Tribolium castaneum: one gene and its partner. The protein of the gene in region 2 purifies or fractionates together with the protein of the main gene of each other region. This does not show direct contact. Links are inferred from orthologs where the notes say so. Each region holds a gene or a part of one and is shown on either strand. Other genes may lie near its edges. The genes, in order: E3 ubiquitin-protein ligase COP1 and kay.

The links.
Region 1: the proteins of kay (region 2) and E3 ubiquitin-protein ligase COP1 purify together in Homo sapiens (affinity purification with mass spectrometry; 3 studies listed by BioGRID and IntAct, counting the BioPlex papers as one, with this or other methods). This does not show direct contact. The link is inferred for Tribolium castaneum from reciprocal best matches to the Homo sapiens genes FOSL2 and COP1.

The regions. Positions count from the first base shown.
Region 1 is NC_087397.1:2,837,126-2,841,050, reverse strand, and holds the start of E3 ubiquitin-protein ligase COP1, read right to left. Parts: upstream 2,676-3,925; intron 2,619-2,675; coding exon of another isoform or gene 2,503-2,618; intron 2,167-2,502; 5' UTR 2,129-2,166; coding exon 140-2,128; 3' UTR 1-139. UniProt on the Homo sapiens protein: E3 ubiquitin-protein ligase that mediates ubiquitination and subsequent proteasomal degradation of target proteins.
Region 2 is NC_087396.1:20,446,813-20,450,737, forward strand, and holds the start of kay (kayak), read right to left. Parts: upstream 2,250-3,925; 5' UTR 2,037-2,249; coding exon 1,905-2,036; intron 1-1,904.

The DNA of each region.
Region 1 (3,925 bases), on a different chromosome or scaffold from region 2:
GTACGTAAAAAATAAAATAGTCCCCCATCCAAGTTTTAGTTATTAAACCGATTTTTCCTGTGCACATCCTGTAACGAAATTTACAATCCGGGATATGCCAAGAACAGTTGATTGTCCTAATGCCGTGCTAGACTATCACCTAAACCAGTTCCAAAATATTAATAATCCCTTGACTGTTCGCCGCAACGACAACATTCGAATTCTGCTTCCAGCAAACAGCCGAAACGAATTCGTTCATATCATCCTCCCGCCTTTCCTGATCCAAGACCCCTTGAATCGCTTCAAACTTATAACTAAACAACTTTTTACTCAAGCCTTTGTAATAAATATACATGGCGTTATTCTCCGAGCCGCAGGCGACATAATCGCCGTCCGTCGCCAATCCGATAAAATTCTTCTCGTTAATGTGTCCGACAAACGACCGAAGGCAATACGGAGTATTAACATTCCACAATTTAAGCTGCGAGTCGGTCGACGCCGACACGATATCCTCACTATTGAGAAACTTGACGTAACTCACTGCCTTCTTGTGGCCCTTGAACACGGCCACCGCCTCCTTCATGTTCCTCAAGTCGTAGTAATGAACACAATGATCAGCGCTACCGAACGCTAAGTGACAAGAACTCCTCGGATTGAACTTAACACAACAAACGTTCGCTTTGGCTTCGAGAGTCGCGATCGAGTGCTCACCGTTGAGCGAGTATAACTTAACGCGCGCATCGTCCGAACCCGAGGCGATCAACCGAGTATCAACCTCATTGAAATCAACACTCCAACAGCGCTTCTCATGCTCTTGGTAGGTCTTGGTGCGCTGACCGGTCGAAGCGTCCCAAATCGTCACAGTCCCTTCGTAATCACTACTCGCCAGAATACTCTTATGGTACGTGTTCCAACTCACGCACGAGATTTTCGACTTGGAGAGCATTTCAATACAGGGATAGTGTATATCGACCGTATCCTTAATCACAGCACCGTAATCGAAAACTTTGATCTTTTTCGTCACTCCAGCAATCGCCAGGAACTCGTTATCCTTATCGAATTCGATACTCGAGACTATGGTCGAATTGTTGAACAAATCACTCGAGTAGTTCAACGTTGCGAGGACCCGGAGCGAGTTATAGCGCGAGAATTTGATCAAATTCTCCCGGAATTCGTCGAGACCCGTATTAATAGTAGTCTTAGTCTTATCGACCCCGTCTTTGCCGAAGAACAAGTCTTTGGAGCGTGAGGTGAAGTAACAGTCGACGAAGTCGTCAAAGTGGGCGTGCATCCGCCGCCGGCGCATCGCCAGCGAGGTCGAACCTAGCCGAAGCGGGGCGTCGGGATTCGTCGTGTCATCTTTGCGACCAGTCGAACTACCTATAGTATCAATCAAATCGATCATTTCCTTCTTCATCGCACTGACATCGGCATTGTCCGCCGCCGACGCCACCGTCCGCTCCACATCCTCCAAAGTCGGGCACTTGCTATGCACCTCCTTCAACTTATTGTAAACCTCCTCAATGTCATGCTCAATAATCGCAATCTCCTTGATAATCTGCGCCTGCCGCTCCTTCTTTTGCTTAAGCAAGTGCTTCAAAAACTCCAAAAGGAGGCGGTTTTGCGCGGCACACGACTCCGCCTCCAGGAGTTGCTTCCGTTGCGTCAGAACCTCCAACATTACGTTAACGTCCGGCAACGTTAAATTCTGCGATTCCGTTGCCACAAAATCCCGTAAACCGTCGGCCGACGTCCCGAACTCCCCCGAACTGTCGCGGTTCAAGCCCAAAGCCTCGAAGTTGTTCAAGCGAGTCTTGTGCTTTCTGATCAGTTCGTTGAGGAGGAAGTTCGGGAAGATCATGTCTTCGCCGGTGACCGGGGCGTTGCATTTGGGGCAGCGTTTGAGGGCTTCGATCGATTTTAAAATGCAGGTGTAGCAGAACGTGTGGCCACATTTCGTAATGTAAGCCTCCTCGATCAGGTTGAAGCAGACGGGGCAGGAAAAATCGGTCGTTTTCTCCTCGAAGGAGCCGCCCCCGGCTGTCGAACGCTGACGCTTTGGGGTGCGAATCGACGAGCGATTTGTCGGCACGTTCGAACTACTGTGCGAAGAGGCGGAACTACTACGACCGTCGCGGCTTGAAGCCATTTTGACGACTTAGAGGTAGTTAAGAGAAAAACATCGACCTGAAACAAGAACTGGAGTAGTATTGAGGAGCGACAATTCGGACGGTTCCTGACCCGAAAACCTGAAACGGGGACAGAAATCGCCTAAATTGTTACTTGAAAACACTCAATACTACTGGATTGGTTAAACTGACGGGATCAAGTTTCAGGTCAGGTTTTTCAATTTGCACGAAAAGGGCCAAGACAATAAAATAATCGCTACGTGTATAAAAAACGATAAAGCTTTCTATTTTGTGCCAAGTTTCATTAATTACTCCCATGTTTTCACATTATGTAATGTTTAATTCCGCTTGGACTTGTCCTCTAATGCAATAAAAACGCTATGACGCTACTTACAGTTTAATTTGTTCTAAAAGCCTGCCTTGACACTTCTGGTTGTACTTTTCAGCAGCGGGGGTTAGCTCCAACCCTTCACATTCATCATCACTGTACACGCCCAAGACTAAGCCTTTCTAAAACGAAACGAACGCAAATCACTCAATTGCATTGCTTCTAATGATAAAACCTACTTTTTCCGGGCAGGCTGAAGAGCATGGTCTGAAAAAGTATCTGCTGGAGACGGATAACCTGAGTAACTTTTTACACGTTAGAGATAAAGCCATACTTGATGGTGACACAAAATATGGGTGGTTTGAGTGTGGGGTGATTTGGTTGAGGGTGGTTTAAAAATCGTATACGTTTCGTCTTTCGATTATGTGGAACTTTAGTGTTGAAAATCCAAAAATCAACAAATCACAAAATTGATTTTTGACAGGTCTGCCGGGCCGACAGGAGTGACAAACGCCAGGAGGCGCTCCTAACGCACAAAAAATGTTTCTGGAAAGGTTGGATATTCGTAGATAACGCCTTATCTTTAGGTCTATTTTGTATGCAATCGACAGTATTTAAATAAAATGCTCAGAAAAAGTGCGAGCCTTTAATTTGCGCTGATAACTGTATTAGATAAAAAAATTATTGGGGAGTGGAATCACCTTAGTTTTTGTGACTTGGTGGAAAAAAAATGGCGGCAAATTCAAAATACATTTTTTATTCAGTTAATTAAGACACAATTTGTGTTGTCCATGTTTTCCGCTAAAGGGTTTTGTAACTTAAAAAGCGGTACCATCGAGGCGTACTAATGCCATATCACCTGTATTTCTGCTATTTTCTTTATTTTGTTTATTGAGGTTATGTGAGACTTTCTTTGACCAAGTGCTCCACTTTTAGATTAAGTTTTTTGTACCTTACATGTGAAATATTTTAGTAAAATGAGCACTCGAGAGTTGGCCCGGTGAGAAAAATTATAATTAAATTAAAGATAAGCTTATTATTGCAATTTCAGAAAACTGGGTGCTTTAGAAGTAATTTATTCAACCGCTAAGGCCACGACTCCCCAGCCTTTTGACTACCTCCTCGTCCTTGACTTTGAAGCCACTTGCTGGAGTAACGGCGACCCGAGAAAAAATCCGGCCGAAATAATCGAATTTCCGGTCGTTCTTTACGACGTAAAAAACGCTAAAATAATCGCAGAGTTCCAGCAATACGTAATGCCAGTCGAGAATCCCAAATTGAGCGACTTTTGTACCGAGCTCACAGGTAAAAAACATTGTGCCCCAAGCCCCACTGATGATTTTTTACAGGAATACAGCAACACCAAGTTGATAACGGGGTCCCCCTTCAAGCTTGTTTGCTTCTGTTTTCGCGTTGGGTTGCCGAAAAAATGAGATTATATGACATGGATTTCCCAAACGGCGAAAGTCAGGCGGCAAAAACGTGCGCT
Region 2 (3,925 bases):
AAATTTGATCATTCTATTGTATAGCTGAGTTAGTCAAATAATATGTAAGGGAGAAATTCTCTAGAATAGCAAGTTTTCATGTAAAATCCCGTAGATAATTTTAGTAGTCTAGAATCTAATAATTTTTCAGTTTTTTCAATACAAAAGCAATTATATTTCTGTACATTTTTAACAACTGAGGCAATTACCCACCTACATACCTAGTATTTTCCGACTCTTTTCAAATATTTGTATTTCCAACTTTTCAATTACACTAGTTTACAAATAATAAATAAATATAAAATAATAACTTCTTTTATAGTACACCTTTGATCCCCTTTTATTTTTTTATAAGGGAAACTGACCCAAAAAAGTACAAAAAACAATGTAAAAATTTGACCTGACCTGACCTGACCTGATATTAAAAAAAGTACAAAAAATACCGCAAAAGCATTCATTTAAAATTTTTTATTTGGCTATTTAACAATAAAATATCGGTATTTCTTAAATCTGACGTGTTGCATTTTTTTTTAATTTTTCTTAACTTAGTGCCTCATAAATTATAATCTATAAGAAATGATGACTTTCAATTAAGGTATATAATAAATCGTGTAAACTAGCGTTATTTAAGTGATGCGAGAACACTTTTTTATTTCTATTGTTTTCTTTATATTCTTTAAGGTAAAATTTTAGCCCATTTTACCCCACTTTCCCCTACAGCCCAATTTTTTTATAGGATTATAAAAAAAGTTGTTTTATAGCCATTATAATGTATAAACATTTAAAATAAAATTTATCATTTGAAATATCTAGTTTTAATTCTAAAAAATGAAGAAGGTTAGAGCTTAAGAAATAAGAAAACTTTCTGGACTTTTTTTCTTGGGTAACTCAATCCCAAAACGTTCGAAATCCAGAATATTTGGAAAAATTAATTGCTGGATCCGCCCCTGGGGTCTGGGGGGTTGCGATTCAGAAAAAAATCTCAAAAAATTTACATCGTCAAGCGATTGTAAAATGAAATATAAGAAAAATAGATTAAAAAAATTGAATACTAGATATTTATTTTACTTTTTTTAGCTAAAATCTTATCTTATTATAGAAACTTCAGATTTTATAACTTATTTTCCAATTATCCACTGATTTTTGTCGGATATTTAGTAACAAATTTGAAATCTAAAGTTGACAATACTGATCATAAAATGTCAAAATTTTATACTCAATTGTCATTCACATTCATTAACTCAGTGTTACCAATATTTTTTTGACAATCTATTGTTCTTACTGTCCTTTTTTTAGCATATTGTAAAGTCCTGAAAACTATTTCAGTAATTCGTTCTAAACAAACATTATTATTAAAATGTCAGTTACAAAAAACACGAAAAAATCACAGAACAGATTCAATAAGTAAATATTTTTGCTTTCAATTTTAAAACATGCAAAAAAGTATCAATATTTTTGACAGAAATTGGCCGTTTTTACAAGAGCTTATTATTGCAGTTTCATTTCCATCATAAAATCAATTACAGAAATTGTCATTTTGCCACAATTAACATAAGAATATTAATTAGGAAGTTATTAAAAACGTATTATTTAAAGCCCATTTCAGTGTTAATGAGACAGGCCATAAAACCAATGTTTTTCCACGTTTCCCAACTAAAAAATGTTTTGCAAACACAAATAATCAAATGGCATTAGTCCAAAACAATCGACTTTTGAGGTTAGATCCGTGTTAAGCACATTTCCCAAAGTGGGCGTAGAGTCTCAAAGCGAACAAAGCCAGAAGAGAAAGTTAATTTATTGTTTACACTCGGTCTCCTTTACAACAAAATCCAATTCATGTGCAGTCTAATTGGACTTTAACGACAGTCGGTGAAGGTCGAGCCCAGATGGTCGAATCAACACCCATAAAAGGAAGCCCAACTTACCGTGGTCGTGGGCGTCAAAAGGACTCCGTTGCCCATCGAAGTCATGAAGTCCGCCGTCGACATCTGCGAGTTCTGGCTGTCGTTGGAGAAGTCCGAGTTGTTGGACATCCCATCGCTCAGCTCCAGCTTCATTTCGTTATCAATGGTCCTGATAGCGAGAGTTGTACAACCTTGAGCGAACAGCTGTTGTTCCAGCGGTGGTTCGCCCCGATGACTGCGCCCCAGCACACCAACGGACACTTGTTACGCCGACAGCCCCCCGAATCCGCGCAAAATCATAAGAAAACACGACCGGATGACTCACGAAGGGAAACCCTTTCCCAGAACCACTGGCTATGATGTCAGAACTAAAAATATCCGAATGACTAAAGAACTTTGCGCCAATGGCGAACCCACAACTAGCGAAATCACACGAACGGGGGCGGAGCCGCACGAAGCTGCCACGTTCTAGCCAGGAGGATAATGTTTTCGCAGAACGATGACTCATCTCGCTTTTGATTTGCTGCATGTTATTTAATTTTGAAGAGGAGCGATTTTTGTGTGTTTTGCTTGATTTTTTTTACCGGAAACGCAACCACAATTGATAAGAATGACTCACTTTGTATGTTTTTTATGCTTAAACGTTTCAGATAAAAAACATATAATAGTGCACCGATATATACACCGCACAAACAATGCATTCATGCCTATTCAAAATCAAGTTTAATGAGCTTGATAAAGGTGGAATAACACAATAGTGTTAATTAAGGCAGGTAATTTGGAAATAAGGCATGTGGAGTAAACATTTGGTGCTAAACTAATCATTTGAATTGTAATTTTTCAGGTACATAAGATGATGTTGACTGCAATTATTGAACTTCCTTCACACCTAGCTGTTTGTTACGGAAGATTACTAATTGGCACGAATAAATAAAATGATTCACTAAAAATGCACACCTACTTCAGGGTACACACCCACGATCTAAATTTTTTCTACAAAAAAAGATACAAAAAGTTATTGTTTTTTAAAGTAAAGTAATCGTTTATTTACACCAGTTTACACAAAAGAAGAGGTCATTGTATTTATTAGTCGTGGCAGGCAACCAGTTATACAAGCTTTGTGGGGGTTCTCTCAAATAAGATGTCTCCATATTCTGATTTTTATCACTATATCATTTCTGTTGATAGAAAAATTGTACAATTTACTTTTTTTGGTGACATTTCTAAATCAGATAAACATTAAAGAAGGAATATACAACATACGATAAGAACTAAAAATAGTATAAATTCACTGCAGTGGACTACTCGAAAAAAAGATAAATATGTGCAAGGTTTCATAACGGTAGAAAAAGAAAATGCTCGATAGAATGAAACAAAAAAAGACAAATACATACATAATGAAACAAAACAGCAGACTCCAAATAAGGGGTCTAGTAAAATATAAAAGTAAGATATAGAAGTTGCTTCAGGTGAATTAAAACACGGAATTTTTAAATACATATAAAATTATTTGGTAAAAAAACGCTCCAGTTCCGTATCTATAAATTAATTCACCGATAAAATAATTCACCAACAAAATAAATTATTGTCTTCTTTTTACTGCAGTCAAATTGTTTTTATTCGATTTGCTTCTTTTTCTGTCTTCTATCCTCTATACTTAGAGAATTCCTACATCTCTCTGTTTTTTGTTTCTATTCCTGCTTTTTGTGTTTTCTTTTTTTCTATTCTACATTATCTTTATATAATCTATTTTCTATTCTATGCTCTATTCACTATCCGAAACTGTATATTGGCAAGCATTTCTTTATTAATCTAAGGGGTTTCTCAAGCGAAATTTGCTCGTAATCCAGCGAGTTTCAGTTATTTAGAAAAAATCTTTAGGAATACATACAAAGAAAAAATTTCAAACGTGCTAATATATACTCAAAAAAAATTTTCTTTTTAGTTTTCTTCTATATAATAGAATGGCTCGGTATATCATTATTAAAGTATTAAACAATAAATGTTTACGAAAAAGTACAAATTTAACTCTTATTTTGTCT